Notamacropus eugenii: one gene and its partner. The protein of the gene in region 1 purifies or fractionates together with the protein of each later gene. This does not show direct contact. Links are inferred from orthologs where the notes say so. Each region holds a gene or a part of one and is shown on either strand. Other genes may lie near its edges. The genes, in order: PTPRU and GOLIM4.

Region 1 (8,049 bases):
TCAGGTACATAGATTTATCCACAAGCAACACCCAAGTCTGATTTCTTCCTGAGGCCTTATTTCTCCAGCCCTGAGCTCTGTACTAAGGAGAGAACAGCTATTTCCAAAGCATCCAGAAATTTTTCATTCATCTCAGAAACATTACATTATCTAATAGGTATGCCAGGCTTTGCTGTTCTAACTTTACATTTGGACCTCAAAATACCACAAGGCTACTGCCACCCCTCCATCCCCACCCCCACTGCACAGAATAAAGTCTGTTTCTAGGCACCCAAGGGCTGAGATGTCTACACTGACCCCAGGAATCAGGATGTACACTATCTCAAAGAAGTCAGGGGTCCTCAGAGGTCAGGGAATTGGGCTTTTATCTATGCAGAAATCCCAAGCCAGTGGGCATCCAGCTTGGACTCTGATGGGTTAGCTCTCTGCCTCCTGAGACAACCCAGTCTATTATCCCAACCTCGACCATTTTTACCCCAGTCCTTGGAACAGCGGGAGTTCTAAACATTCTCCTCCCCAGTCCAGACCTGGTGAAGAGGGAAAGTAGGAAATGCTATCCCACCACTCCCTTGCCACCGGTCCCCTCCCTCTCCGCTTCAGAGCCCAGGACCATACAGAGCTCAGTTATGAGGACCCAAAGCTCCCTTCCCCCAGCACAAATGACCTCAGTTCATGGAGTTGGACTGAACCTTCTATTAATCAGGAGGGGTTTAGAGAAGGCTGTGATCAGGGCCCCACCCTGGGGGGTGGGGTGGGAACTAAGATCGGGGAGGGGAGAGGTACACAGAAAGGTGGCCAATGAAAATTCATGACTTGCCCAAATAAAGGAAAGAGATCCTGCTCCCCACCCCCATCCAGGGTCCTTTAGAAGGATCCCCCTTTCCAGGATACAGGACATTAAACTGGCTGATGGGGGGAATCTATTTTCCGGAGAAACCATAGAGCCCCCAAGGGGGTCATAGGAGCAGCTGGGAGCTACCTCCCCTTCTTAGGCCCAAAAGGTTACTGGCCATCCTGGGAAACCCAAACTGGAATTCAGCTCTTCGAGTTCAGATCTCGACAGAGTCCTGTTGTGATGGGCGACAGGAAGGCGCCAGACAGTCTGGGTTTGAGGTGGGGGCCACCAAACCGGAGCGGAAAGAAATCTCTCCAGCGGAGTTTGGAGACATCCAGAGGCCACCCCAGCCGAGGGTCAGGGCTGCAGTGACCTCTGCCCCTCCAGGAATCATCCCGGGATAACCCTTCTAGGAGCTCCCTCCCCATCATCCAGGCCTCCCCCAGGTTACAAGGTGCAGTCTGCTCCCTTCCTTCAGCCTCCAAGTCAGTCCTCGGCTCTCCAGGCTGAGCTCAGACGCGGGGCGCGGCACTAGAGGCCTCAGGGCCCCCTAAGTCAAACTGCTGTGGAAAACAGGGGCCCGGGAGCCCGAAAGGGGAGGAAGACGTGGTCATGATGGCCCTCTGCGAACCTGCGTTGTTACTGGAGGGGGACGGAGCCATCACCTTTTGGCACACCCGCCCCCGCTCCTCCACTTCCACCGGGTTAAGAGACCAAGTGCTCCCAGGCCGGGAGAAGAGGACCGGCGTGGTTGGTGTCCCTCCCCCCATCGTGCACTGGCAGACACACACTGGCATGGACTAGACGGACGCACTCAAGCAAGCACGCACACGCACACACACACACACACACACACACACACACACACACTCTCACATACTGGGCTCACGCTACACCCACTGTGAAATGGACACACTTCGAAACACACGGGCACAGACAGACACAGGGCACGCTCAGATGGACGGAAACAACAGACAGAAAGGCGACACAGATAAAGAACGGGTCACACAGACGGACGGACAGAGGCACAGGAGCCACTTAGACAGAGGGACACGCAGAGACAAGCACACGGACACGCACACGGGCACACTCAGACACAACCTGTGCCGGATTGCGGAAAGACCCGGGTACAAAGTTACGAAGTCGGCGGGGGTAAGGGTCCCTAGGGATCCGCTGCCCAGTCTGACCTCTCCTTGAGGCTGTTCCCTCCTAGGAGCGGGCATCACCGAGAGGGGACAGGAGGACAAAGAGGGGGGAGAGATGGCCAAAGCAGGCACTTGCCGACGTGCCCCCGGGTGAAACCTGCTCCCAACCCCGGCTGCTCTTCTCCCAGGCCGGGCGAGCTCGGAGGCTTCCCAACGGGCTCTCCCTCCTGAGTCCCAACTGAGAGCCTTCTCCACCCCCCACTCCCCACCAGCCCCAGCCAGGCCACAGTAGCTCCGCTCTCCCCCGAGTGCCTCCTCTCTCCTCTGCGGTCTGTTCGATTCTCCCCATCTCCGCCTTCCTCCGAGATGTCTCTGGCTCCCAGGTCCCCCTTTCCTGACTCGCTCTCTCTTTTCTCCCCGACCCTTTCTTCCTTCTCCTTTCTCTGCCCATTCTCGCTGCCCTCTGCCTTCTCTTCCCGTCTCCACTCCCTCCTTCCTTTTCCCTCTCTCCTTCCCTCCTTCTCCCCCCTCCCCCTCCCCCCTCCCCAGTTCCCCTCGGCTCTCTCTTCCCCCCACCTCCGGCCCGGCTCCTCCCTCCAGCCCCCAGGCCCGGCCAGATTCCCTTTCTACGTTCCCGCCAGCTCCCCCCGCCAGTGTAAACCGATGGACCGGGAGCCCCGGGGCGCTGACCGAAGCTCGACTCCGTCTCCGGAGCGAGCCGCTCCGAACTTGCGAAACAACAGAAAGCAACCCACAACATGTCGGTGTCAGCGGCCGGCCGACACCCCCTCCAGGCCAAGCTGCCCTCCTGGCCCGAGCCCCGGGCCCCCAGGAGCCCAGGGCGTAGCACAAACAAGTTGTTTGACCATTTTGCGCGCACACAAACACAGACACACACAGAGACACACACAGACACACAGTCTCAGCACGCACACACAGACACATACAACACTCACACATACTTCCTTGCTGCGCAGCCCTATCTGCCCCAAGGTGCACGGGTCCAAGGGTCCCCAGCTTGGGGTCCCGGGTCACAAGTTGGGGTTCGGGAAGCGGGGCCCCCGGGGAGGGGGTGGGGAGTCCCGGCGGGGGGGGGGGGGGATCCAGTTCTCTTACCTGTGGGAGTCTCGCTTTCCAGCGCGCAGAGCTGGAAGGTGAGCGCCAGGATGAGCGCCTGGGCGCCGGTCATCGTGCGCCACCCTCGAGGGCCCCGGGGCCACGGGGAAGGAGCGTAGACCGGAACCCCGGAGCCTCCCGAGCCGCCGGAGCCGGAGCGGAGCCGGGACTGGCACTGAGTCCGGAGCGGGCGCTGGAGCCGGAGCCGGAGCCCTGACGTCAGGAGCCCGAGCAGCGGCCTCGCGTTCCAAAGGTGGGGGGCGCCTCCTGCCGGTCCTTGTGTGGAAGTGCGGAGGTCTGGAGAAGCTGGGCAGGGACTGCGAACCCCACAACCCGCAGGGAAGTGAGAGGGGGAGGGCCGCGACCCCCGAATCACCGCTAGGGCCACGGAACTGGGAACAACAGAACGGCACCGATACGGGGGCATCCTAAGCCGCTGGTGCGCCCACCGTTCTCCAGTCCGGTCAGTTAAAATGTCCGGAATCCCATTAGACTCTTGGTTTTGTACACACTCTCCCTTCTGGGTCACTGAGGCACTCAACCCTGGGATCACTGTCCCATGCGACCAGCACCAGGACCTGAAGCTGGTCCCTCCGCAGCCCCTTTTACCGGGTCTATCCTCTTGGCACATTCAAACACGTATTCTACAGCACACCTAGGAAAGCAGCCTTCCACAAACCACTCACTCATACACATACTTTCAACCCTACACAAATTCAGAGAGCCTTATACCCTAGTAGAAGAATATAAACAGTCACCTGTCAGACCTGTCAGATCATACACAAGGCCCTGAGGACCATAAGGTTCCCATTCAAGTAAACGTCAAAGAATCATGAAATGGCAGATACTAAAGGGGATCTTAAACCTTAAAATGTTAGAACTGGAAGGGCCTTTAGACTGTAGAATGTCAGATCTGAGAGGGATCTTAGAACACAGGATGTCGGAGCTAGGAGAGATCTTAGAACACAGAAGGTTAAAACTAGACAGAATGTTAGAATGGAGAATGTCAGAGCTGGAAGACCCCTTAGAACTTAGAATGGCAGAGCTAGGAGTAACCTAGCCATAAAATAGGAGCCATAAAATGGCATATCTAGGAACCTTAAAGCACATAACATTAAAATTGTAAGGAGACTTAGTATATAAAATGTTAAAATACAATGTCAAACATTATTGATCTTATACTCAGACACATCACTTTATAGATGGAGAATCTAAACCTCAGAGAAGAGGAAATGACTTGCCCAAAGTCCCACAGCCAAGGACAGTTAAAAACTGGAATTCAGGCATCTTGACTCAAATATCCTTTCCATCTTCCCTCAAATATGCATGTGATCAGTCAACAAACATTTATTAATCACATACTGTGTGCCAGGTATTTTGCTAAGAGCTGAAGATACAAAAAAAAGCCAAAACAGACCCCACTCTCAAGAAGCTCATAGTCCAGTGGGGGAAGTAGCATGCAAAGGACTAGGTACATAAAGGATATATTCAGGATGGAAGCTTTACACTTTCCCCAAAAATGTATGGGATTTGATTGATCACACAATATGTAAGATCATAGACTTAGAGTTGGAAGGGGTATTAAAGGTCAGCTAGTCCAATCCCCTCATTTTATAGTTGAATAAACTAAGACCCAGGGTCCCCACAGGTAGAAAGTGAAAGTAAGACTTTGAACACAAATTCTGAGATTTCAAAACCATCATTTTTTTTTCTACTATGCCCTGGTGCTTGAGGAGAGCAGGGGAAATTCCCTTGACAAAAATAATAATAATTTTTTGGAATTGCAAATACTGCATGCATATATGTACATATACATATATCATACATATATATGTGTATATATGTGTATGTGTATATATATATGTATATGTGGTTTGTGTCTGTATACATATATACAGACACACACATATACATGTATTCCTGTGCTACACTCCAGGCAGTTGCTAACCATCCATAGCCCTCCTGATAATCTCTCTACCCTACTAAGAGAAAGTGACTGCTCTTTGCTGCTGTCTTTGAGATCTTGGGAAATTCACAAAGTCTCTGGCCTGCAGTTTCCTCACCGATGAAATGAAAAGCTTGCACTGAATGCTTTCTAAGATTCCTTCCAGCTTTAAAGCCTATGATTCCTTCAACAGTCTACAATCAGTGGTGTCTCCCTCTGCAGGACGCTAGAGTCCTAGCAGTCCCTCAGGCAACTGACTGTTTACTTGAACTGCGGTTAGTATTCTCTAGATACCTCTGTATGGAATTCAAGCCACTAGTGCCCAGGGCAAAGGCCTTGGAGAGGGGCCTAATGTCCAGAGCCCTTGGTTTCTGGCCTCCTTAAGGCAAAGAGTCTAGGGCATTAGAGACAGTGTACGGTACTGTGTAGAGTCTCAAAATCTTAGAGTAGCTTTAGAAGGGAACAATACTCCTTACCCTCATTAGCTCTAAGTTCCAGCCAAATTGGCATATCTGAGGCTCCCTAATCTGTCATTCTTATTTGTCTGGTTTTTTTAAGAATGATTTTTTTCTTTAGGTATTTTCCAAGGACTTTTGTTTACTCCTATTGTTTCTCTTAACCAGAAAATAGTATTCCTTCTCCCACCTCTACACCTTTGCCCAAACTATGTTCTCCTTCCTCACCTCTGCCTCTTGGAACCCCTAGCTCCCTTCAAGCCTGGGCTCAGATATCAAGTCCTAAAAAAGGCTTTTGTTGATTCCTCCAGTTGCTGGTGCTACCCCTCCACCTCCCACCTCCAAAAACTAATTATTTTGCATCCGTTGTGTTTATATTTCTCTATTTCCATGTTGATTCCCTCCACTAGAAGGAATGTGAGGATAAAGACTGTCATTTTTGTATTTGTTATCTCCTGGTGTCTAGTATACAGCAAGCACTTCATTAAGGCTTGCTGAATTGAATTGACCTCTGAACACTTCTAGTCCATACTACACACACACACACAACAACCCCCAAAAAAAGTCATCCAGCCTCTTGCCTGTGATGGGCACAATGTGGGACTTGGGAGTCAGGAAGATCTGAATTCAAATCCTACCTCAGATATTTACTACCTATGGGTCTCCTGGCAAGGTATCTCCATTTGCTTCAGTTTCCTCATCAGTAAGATAGCACCTAGTCACAGGGTTATCATAAGGTTTATATAAAGTGGTTTACAAACCTTAAAGCCCTTCAGGATTGGGGAGCCTGCAGTCCTTGACTGAATTCTGGCTGCACTTGAGAACCTAGAGGACCACATGTGACCTTGAGGCCACAGGTTCCCCACTCCTACACTATACAAATACTATTATCCTTACCTCCCAAGGCAGCCCATTGCTCTCTGGGATAGCTCTAATTTTCATGTAGTACTGGAAGTAAGAAGACCTGGTTTGGAGGCACTCTTCCCCCTCCCTACCTCAGCCCTGCCCCACCTTCTGCCATTTACTAATTATGTAACTGTGGGCTATGGAGTTGAGGGGAGGGGTGTTCAGGAGGACCAGCACCTCTGGCATGAGGGCATACCCTTTTCAGGACTGCTCATCCACCTTTGGTGTCCACCTTCACCTAGCTCTCACCAGTGGCTCCAAGAAGCTGTAGTATACTCATTGGACACACCCAGGTAAACCTCTGGGAAGACAGACTAGACTAAATTGAAGGTAATTGATGGGCCTCCAAAACCACCCAGTGAATTAGGGGGATGTCTACCCCAAAACTTCAGTGGAATGGGCGGATGAGAACAGTTTGTTCCAATGACCATGAAAGCAGTTGAAGCAGGTGTTATGTGCCAAGGTCATCCACTGCATCCCAGGCCGTCACCAATCAATGACTTTTGTCCAGCTGTGTGACCCTGTGTGACCCTGGACTTTGATGATTCTGGAAGAGCTAGTCAGGCTGGCAATTTCGTGCAACTCTGCCTCACTTAAATCTAATTTATTCACAAATCAAGACATCACCCCATGATGTCATTGGACCTCTTAAAAATGAAAAACAAACAACAACCTGTAGCTGTGGGCCAGAAGACCCTTAACCTCTCCTGGTGCTGATACATAAACATGGCTTTGGCCTAGACAAACTCCATCAAACTCATCTGTAAAGCAGGGATAACAAGATCAGCACTGCTTCCTATCCCCTGGGTCCCTTTGTGAGGGGCCATTCAAAGGCCCTCTGCTGGGGTGCTTGAACAGCGCTGAGTTCTTGTCTCTGTTTACTCCTTCCCAAGAGCCCACATCCTTCCCAGTGGGAAAGCACCGATGTCAGAAATCTCCAGGCAATACCACTTCAGCTAATCCAATGAGCTACTACTGTAGGTGAAAATGCTTTGAATCCTGTAAAGGACCACCGTGATGTAAGGCTGCACTATTAGTTATACTATAATGCTGCAAGAAAAGAAAACCTCTCACCTCCCCATGGAACTTTTCCCAAAAAGCTTCAAGTGCCTATATGATCATTGTACTATTTGTCCCCCCCTTAGGGAGTAGGATTATCCATACTTCCAAGGCTCAGGAAAGGTGACTTTTCCAAAGTAGCACAGCAAGACAGAAGCTACTAGGGTTCAAGCCGGGGCCATAACCACACTGATGCAATTGGGGATACAGAGGTAATTTTCATGTCTGAGACAAGAGTACAAAACATGGCTGGGACCAGTAACATAAACATAACCCCAGATAAACTTTGTACCATCAATTCAGTTTGTTTGTTAGGGGGAGAGATGCCAGGACACAAGAAAGTTGCTTCTGGGACTGTCCTAGGAGGAGATCAGAGGCAGCATGGGCTAAGCCAGAGTACCATGGCAATGGGTTAGCAATCCATCCATCAATTAATTAATTTTTATTCAGTGACTACTACATGCCAGGTATGGTGCTAGCCATTGGGGGTACAAAAACAGTCCCTGCCTTCAAAGAGCTTATATTCTATCAGGGGAGACAACATGGAGAGAGAAAGTGGGGAGAGAGGGAGAGGAGAGAGAGAGAGAG
Region 2 (7,442 bases), on another chromosome or scaffold:
GTAGATCCTTTGTAGGTCAGGGTTAGGGGTGGTCTCTGTGTAGAGACAGTCCAGTGACATGATGTCACTCAGTCCCTCATTGGAGTGAGTCTACCTCTATTGCAATATTCATTCTCTCATTAATTGTCAACCAATCAGAGTTGATTGTCATCCTCAAGAACACTCACTCTTCCAAGGGCATATAAACTGCGAGCCCACCACCATAAGGGGTCTTTGGCATTTGAGAGAACCACTAAACTCTTTTATTAATAAAATGCTAGCATTATTTTTTGTTGCTTTTTTTTTTTTTTTACCACCAGCCAATCTGGGTTAAGTGATTTGCCCAGGGTCACACAGCTAGTAAGTATCAAGTGTCTCAGACTAGATTTGCATTCAGGTCCTCCTGACTCCAGGGTCAGTGCTCCATCCACTGCATCACCTAGCTGACCAATTGCCAGCATTATTCATTTAATAATTAATTATGCAGAAATTTTGCCTCTCAAACTTTTTAAACATCACAAAACATGCATAAGTATATACACATATGTATACACACATACATATACACATATTTTGTACATATATACACACATGTATGTATATACATACATACAAATAGAAGGGGATCTTGGCATCTGGGGGAATCAGGAAAAGTTTACAGAAAATAAGTTAAAATTCTTTATTTTTAAATAGAAGACTTATTGAGGATAAGATCTTTCTACCATCAAATTGTCATTTAAAAATATAAGATAAAGTCTTGTGGTTTTAACTGGTTTACCAGGTTGGTGAAAATGCTACACTTTTTCATAAAAAATACCACAGCCACAAATACCACAGACAGTGACTAGAGTTCTGATTTCATCACCAGTTGATGGGTAACCTTGGCAGGTCCTTTAACCTGTAGACCTGGTTCCTCACTTGTTCAGTTGAGGGTATCACTCTTCTGCCAGATTCCCATGTTTGCAAATTGAAAGTCATCCTTGACCCTTCCCTCTCTCTCTCTCTCATTCCTTTCCCACATCCAATCAGTTTGACAAGCCTTATTAATTCTCTGTTTATCTCTACTGAATTTGTTCATTTTCCTCCTCTATTAAGTCTTTGACCTCATGCAGAACTGGATCATCTCTCACCTAACCTATTTCAATGGCATCCTGACTGGTCTTCCTGCTTCCAGTCTCTTCCCTTTCCAATTCCCTCTTCCACACTGCTGCCAAAAGAAACTTCTCAAAGTTCAAAGATGCTGCCACAGTTGCCTATTGTCTCTAGAATAACATGCAAACATAGCCATTGGTATTTTCAAACCCAGTCCAGCTCCAGCTTACACTTCCAAATTATTTTGTTTCTCCACTTCATCCACTCTACATTTCAGACAAAAAGGTCATGCTGTGCCAGTTCTCCTACATTCTATCTCTTGTAAGAGACTGCCTCTGTACCTGGAAAGCTCTTCCTCTTCAGTCTACTGACTTCCTTCAAAGCTTAACTTGGGTGCTATCTTATACACAAGCATTTTCCTGATCTAAATCTGGGCCCAATTACTAGCACACGTGGCTAATAAATTTTTGTTAATTGATTGATTCTTCTGATTATTATTGCTCCCCCTCTCTTGAGATAACTTTAATGTTATTTTACACTTACCTGTTCAAATGTAGTCTCCTGTAAAGCACTATGTAAGCTCTTCGAAGTCAGACTGGTTTTCTTTTTTTTTTGGTCTTTTAATCTCTAGCATCTAGCAAAGCGCTTTGTACGTAGTCCTCCCAAATTCCTTCCTTTATAAAGAGAGCAGAAAATAGACTCTCAATTTATTTCTCTTTGTATCTGCTGCCCTACCTGGTTTCAACTCCATCCCTCCCAGAGTAAACTCATCACTTCTAATCTCATCCCCATGTGGCTAACTCTACTTGATTAATTTTCAGCCTTCTGATTGGAGGGCAGAGTTCCAAACTTCTCCCAATTCTTTCCTTTATAAAGGGCAGAAATTGGGCTTCTCAACTTTGACTTCATTCAGGACTATATCATCTCTCACCTTGCCTATTTCAATAGTATCCTGATTGGCCTTTGCATCTCCACTTGGCATCTGCTTCTCTCCCTGGTTTCAACTCCACAGGACAAAATGCTCCGGCACCAGGTACCCCCTAAAATTCAGTCCCTACCTTCCTCCCACCTCCTTTTGTGTGTCTCTCCCTTTAGACTGTAAGGTCCTTGAGGACAAGATCTAGCTTTCTTTTTATTGTTGCATCCCCAGTACTTAGCACAGTGCCAGGCATGTGGTTGGTTGCTGTCCGCCCTTCTCAGAGGACCAAAATTACATCACTATGCTAGAATCAAGTTTCAGTGTGTTCAACTGTGACTAATCAAAGCGATACAAGCTCAGAATGCTCTACCACAGGTCAGGCACAAATAATTCGTGTGAACATTTGGTGGGAGAGAGGTTCTCTAAATTTATGCCAACCCTGACTGCACCAGGCAATGTTTAGCAGCCAGATGGCACAGTGGATAGAGCATTAGGTTGGAATCAGAAAGACTCCTCTTCCTGAGTTCAAATCCAGCACTTACCAGCTGTGTGACCCTGGGCAAATCCCATAACCTTATTTACTTCAGTTTCCTCATCTGTAAAATGAGCTGGAAAAAGAAACAGTAAACCACTCCAGCATCTTACCCAAGAAAATTGCAGCTGGGGTCACCGAGTCAGACACAACTTACCAATGATAACAAATTGCCTTTATGCTCTAAAAAGATTCCTAGTGCTCGCTACAATGACAAACAGTAAAATCCTGCCAGAATGTCATAAAAATGATGGGGCATATAATGAATATCACTATTAATAAGGAAGCATCTGGGAAATAGCTTACTTTTCTTAGAATTCAGGTCAAGGACAGAAATATAATTATCATTTTATAGGTGCGCATAACCTGAATTCCCCCCCTCAAGTATCCATCTCAAAATATGCCTGCACTGCAGATTTGCTTTTCTTTTTGAAGTAGAGAATGTTTCCCAGTTTTGCTAATAAGTTTCAATTATTTTACCTAGACACTCCTTGCCTTTTACAAGGTAATTTGCAAATGTTGCTTTTTCATAACTTGGTTTTTTTGCCACCAATAAAATAGATAAGACGAAAGGAATGCAAACTCATTTCAGCCTAGGAAGTTTGTTTTTAAAATTGTTCTACTGAGGGTGGGGGAACAAGAGCTCAATTTTTCCTCCTCTTTGCCACTCACAGGCTGATTTCCAAGCGCCTCTGTAACGGCTGACACTAATTCTGGGCAGACATTCCCATCTGGGGACGCACACACCTAGGAATGTGCCCTGCGTAGGACCCCGTGTGCGTATCTGGTGCCAGGTGCCATCTGAGGATGCTGGTTCGCAGACGTTGCACTTCGCGTGTGGGACTGCAGCATGTCCACCCAGGGCCCTGCATTCCACACCCCACGTCCTCTGTGAACTCGGGGGTGTGCCCCCCGCCCCCTGCTCCTCCTCCCTTCCAGGCTGTGCCCCCCGCCCCCTGCTCCTCCTCCCTTCCAGGCTGTGCCCCCCGCCCCCTGCTCCTCCTCCCTTCCAGGCTGTGCCCCCCGCCCCCTGCTCCTCCTCCCTTCCAGGCTGTGCCCCCCGCCCCCTGCTCCTCCTCCCTTCCAGGGTGTGCCCCCCGCCCCCTGCTCCTCCTCCCTTCCAGGCTGTGCCCCCTGCCCCCTGCTCCTCCTCCCTTCCACACTGCTTCCACCTGGGATGCGCACACTCGCACAGCGGTTCGCGTGTCTCACTTCATGCGGACAGCACACATAACAAACACACAACGCCCCCCCCACAGTCACCACACACGTGCGCAGACTCCCACGCGCGTACCCAGCCAAGTCCCCTCCGCTCCTCCTCCTCCCCACCCCCCGCAGGCTCCACGTGGGCACCCCGCGGACCCCGCCGGCCGCCGCCTCCCCACGCCAGGTAGCCCCTCCGGCCGCGCAGGGGGCGGGCCGCCAGAGCCCTCCGGCCAGACAGACAGAGCGGGCGCCCAATGGAGCCGGGCCCTGCCTCCCCAAAGGGAGGGAGGGGCCGCTCGGACCAGCCCAATGAGCGCAGAGCCGCGCGCGGGACTTCCTCCCGGAATCCCGTTGGCCGGAGGAGCTGGGCTGGTGGGTGACACGTAAGTTGAGTGGGAAGCTGTGGCCCGGCCAGAAGCGGCGCTCCGAGCGGCAGCGAGCCCCCCCCCGAGCCCAGCCAGGCCAGGCCAGCGCAGCCCAGCCCCGCGCAGCCCAGCCCCGCGCAGCCCAGCCCAGCCCAGCCCAGCCCCGCCGCGATGTGCCCGGGCTAAGCCGCCGGCCAGCGCACCGGGGCCAGCCTCTCCTCCCTTTGTCCTACTCTCACCCTCCTTTAGGTGGCAACAAAGTAGCGCCCGAGCCGGAGCAGCCCCGCTGGGAGCCGGCCTGGCGGGACCCGGACCGCTCTGAAGCCCTCGCGCCGGGATCCCGCGGGGCAGGGAAGCGGCTGCCGGCCGCCAGCTCGGCCCCGCCGGGCCAGGGGCACCGGGAGCCCGGGCAGCCCGCCCCGAAGCATGCGAAGGGCCCCCGCGCGGGCGCCGGCACTCGGGAAAAGTTTGCTGCTCCGCGGCTGCCTCGACGAGTTGGAGTTGGAGCGGCCGGGGCGATAGCGCGGGCCACGTCCATGGCAGCCCGCCCGGCGGTGCCCGGGGGCTGAAGCGAGCGCGCGCCGCTGTGCCCCGGGGGTCCTGCCTGGACGGCGCCTGCTCCCTTCTCTCGGACCCGTGCCCGATGCTGCCGCTGCTGCCGGCTGCTGCAGCCCCCTCCTGCGGCGGCTGCAGCTGTTGAGGCGCTCGGGGCGCAGAAGACGAGGAGGAGGAGGAGGAGGAGGAGGCTCGGGGGGCCGAAACGGGGACTATGGGAAACGGGATGTGCTCCCGAAAGCAGAAACGGATCTTCCAGACGCTGCTGCTGCTCACCGTGGTGTTCGGCGTCCTCTACGGGGCCATGCTGTACTACGAGCTGCAGAGCCAGCTGCGCAAAGCCGAGGCGGTGGCGCTCAAGTACCAGCAGCACCAGGAGGCCCTCTCTGCCCAGCTGCAAGGTACCCGGGGGGCCCCCGGGGCGGAGCGGGGCCGGCCCGGGGGGCAGCGCGTGCGAGGAACGCACCCAGACTCCCGCCGGCCGGCACGGGCGCACCCACGCAGCCCGCCATCAAAAGTTGCCTTTCTGCCTCGGGTTTAGGGTTCACTCACCGGTGTGTTGGGAACTGAGGCAGCGCCCTTGACCTCGTGGTGAATATGATGCCAGGATGCCTCCCTGCCCCTTGTACCTGTTAAGCAATAGGACCCACCCCTCCCTGCATCCTTGTGTTTCCAGTAGGTTCTGAGATTGTCATTGGCAGGGCACCACAAAGTCAATCTGAGGGTTATAATGGCATTCTTCTTTTCTTAAAGATCAAGTTAGTTCAAGCCCATTATCTTTCTCAGGCCCAGAGACAGTAAGCAGATTTTAAGTAGACAGTAAGCAGATTTGGGTTTCTGTCCCTGGACAGTCCCTTTGTCACTTACATTATGTCATGATTAGAGAAGGCTAAAGCTGGAAAGGGCCCCAGAGATTATCTGCCCAGCGCCCTCATTTTTCAGATAGAGAAACTGAGGCCTGCAGACATGAAGTGGCTTGACCTACATGCAGTCTGGAAGTGGTCCAGCCAGAATTGAGCCCAGGGGTGGTTAAGTTGAAATCCTCTGGGAGGGAGGAGGTGTTCCCGCAAGTCTTTATCAGTTCCTCTAGCATTTAATACTATGGCATCATGGAAGAGTCGCTTGAGGTCCTGGACTTTTAGTCAGGAAGATGCAGGCTAAAATCTTATTTTCCACGTTTACTAGCTGTCTGACCTTGAGCAAGTCACCTAAACTCTTTGAGTCTCAGTTTCTTTATCTGTAAACTGAGGAGATTGGAGCAGATGGCCTCTTGGATCTCTTCCAATTCTGGAAGAAATGAAACTCTCACTCAGCTATGTGATGAGTATAACGAAACCAAAAGCTGTCCCTGCCTGCCCTCCAGGAGCTTAGAGATGAATTGGTACAGAGATAGGTAGACATACCACATGTACAAATTAAAATACAAAGTAATCAGAAAGAGCACTAACATCTGGTGAAATCCAATATGGTTCCTCCTTGCAGGTTGGAAAGGGAGCCTAGTGGGTTGGATGCAGTGGGAGAGGAAGAGCTTGAGTGCCCATACATAGCAGCACCCTTCCCACCACGCTGTCCACCCAGAACCTGTCAGACGGGACCCAGCATTTTGAAAGTTTCTTTTTGCTTGGATCCAACCAGTGAGAATGAGGAAATTCAGGGACAAGAAAGAGGTCATTGCCCTTTGACTGAAATTGATCCAGCTAGGAATTAAAATTTTCAAAATCATCCCCTGGTCTAAGCAAATGGAGAATTAACTGGAATTAACTGTGACTTGTGCCTCTGGGTTTGTGTTTCCCGTCTGTTTGTCAGTGTAGATGGATTGGAGAGGTTTGGAATGTTTACATTGTATATACCATGTGACACTTAATGACTTGTTTACCTTCACTTACCTTTGGTGCATCCCACATGGCTTATTTTCAAAAATGTTTCTTCTGGACCCAGAGTGCAATTGATCACTTGGCCGAGCCTCAGCAAATCCCAGTCCCAACCAGGCCATAGACTCGCTCAGCTTCTATCTATCAGTATATCTAATGGAAGTGTCAAAATCACATAAATAATTCATGGATTCAAAATAAACACTACGTATGGTAAATAGTGCTAGTGGGAAAGCGTCCTTTAGCCTTTGGAGACTTTGAAAGTCTGAAACTCTAGTTACTTTTTAGCTGTTTCCTACCTGGAGTCACTTTTAAATGTAAGGAGTCTGGGATTTGTAGAGAATCTTTTGACAGAGCCTTTTCTGCAAGATAACTTTCAAATTACCTTCATATACTCTGCCTGTATCTTGTGTGTATCTAGATATTTGCTTGTTTTCTCCCCCATTTGAATGTATGTTTCCTGGGAGCAGAGATTGAGATTATTCTTTTTTTTTTTTTTTAATATCCCCAGTGTTTCAAACAGTACTTGGTACACTTAGTAAAGAGTTTGTTGACTGACTATTGGCTGTCCAGTATACCTTGGGCCAGGACTATTTTCTTTAATGTCCTCATCTCCCCTTCCTGGGGTTTCACGCCAAGTGGTTGCTTAATAAATGTTGGCTTGAGTCTTGTGGAAGATTGTTATGGAGACACATTAAAACAATGCCTCCAGGTCACTTTAGTTCTTCTGGATGCTTTTTCTAATTTAAAAAAAATATAATAAGTCAGAAGAGAAAATTAAACCCACCCCTTTGCCTGTGTGTTTTCTGTGACCAAATTAGAAGAAAGTAAGGTATTTTTAGCAAACAGAAACTTCATAGCTATAGGCACCATCCATCTGTGAGCTGGGCTGGGCCCAGAAAGGATCTTGCTTTTTGCATTCT

The links.
Region 2: the proteins of PTPRU (region 1) and GOLIM4 purify together in Homo sapiens (affinity purification with mass spectrometry; 3 studies listed by BioGRID and IntAct, counting the BioPlex papers as one, with this or other methods). This does not show direct contact. The link is inferred for Notamacropus eugenii from reciprocal best matches to the Homo sapiens genes PTPRU and GOLIM4.

What each region holds. Positions count from the first base shown.
Region 1 is NC_092876.1:70,423,322-70,431,370, reverse strand, and holds the start of PTPRU (receptor-type tyrosine-protein phosphatase U), read right to left. Parts: upstream 3,286-8,049; 5' UTR 3,170-3,285; coding exon 3,097-3,169; intron 1-3,096.
Region 2 is NC_092877.1:356,331,918-356,339,359, forward strand, and holds the start of GOLIM4 (Golgi integral membrane protein 4), read left to right. Parts: upstream 1-4,408; 5' UTR 4,409-4,862; coding exon 4,863-5,049; intron 5,050-7,442. UniProt on the Homo sapiens protein: Plays a role in endosome to Golgi protein trafficking; mediates protein transport along the late endosome-bypass pathway from the early endosome to the Golgi.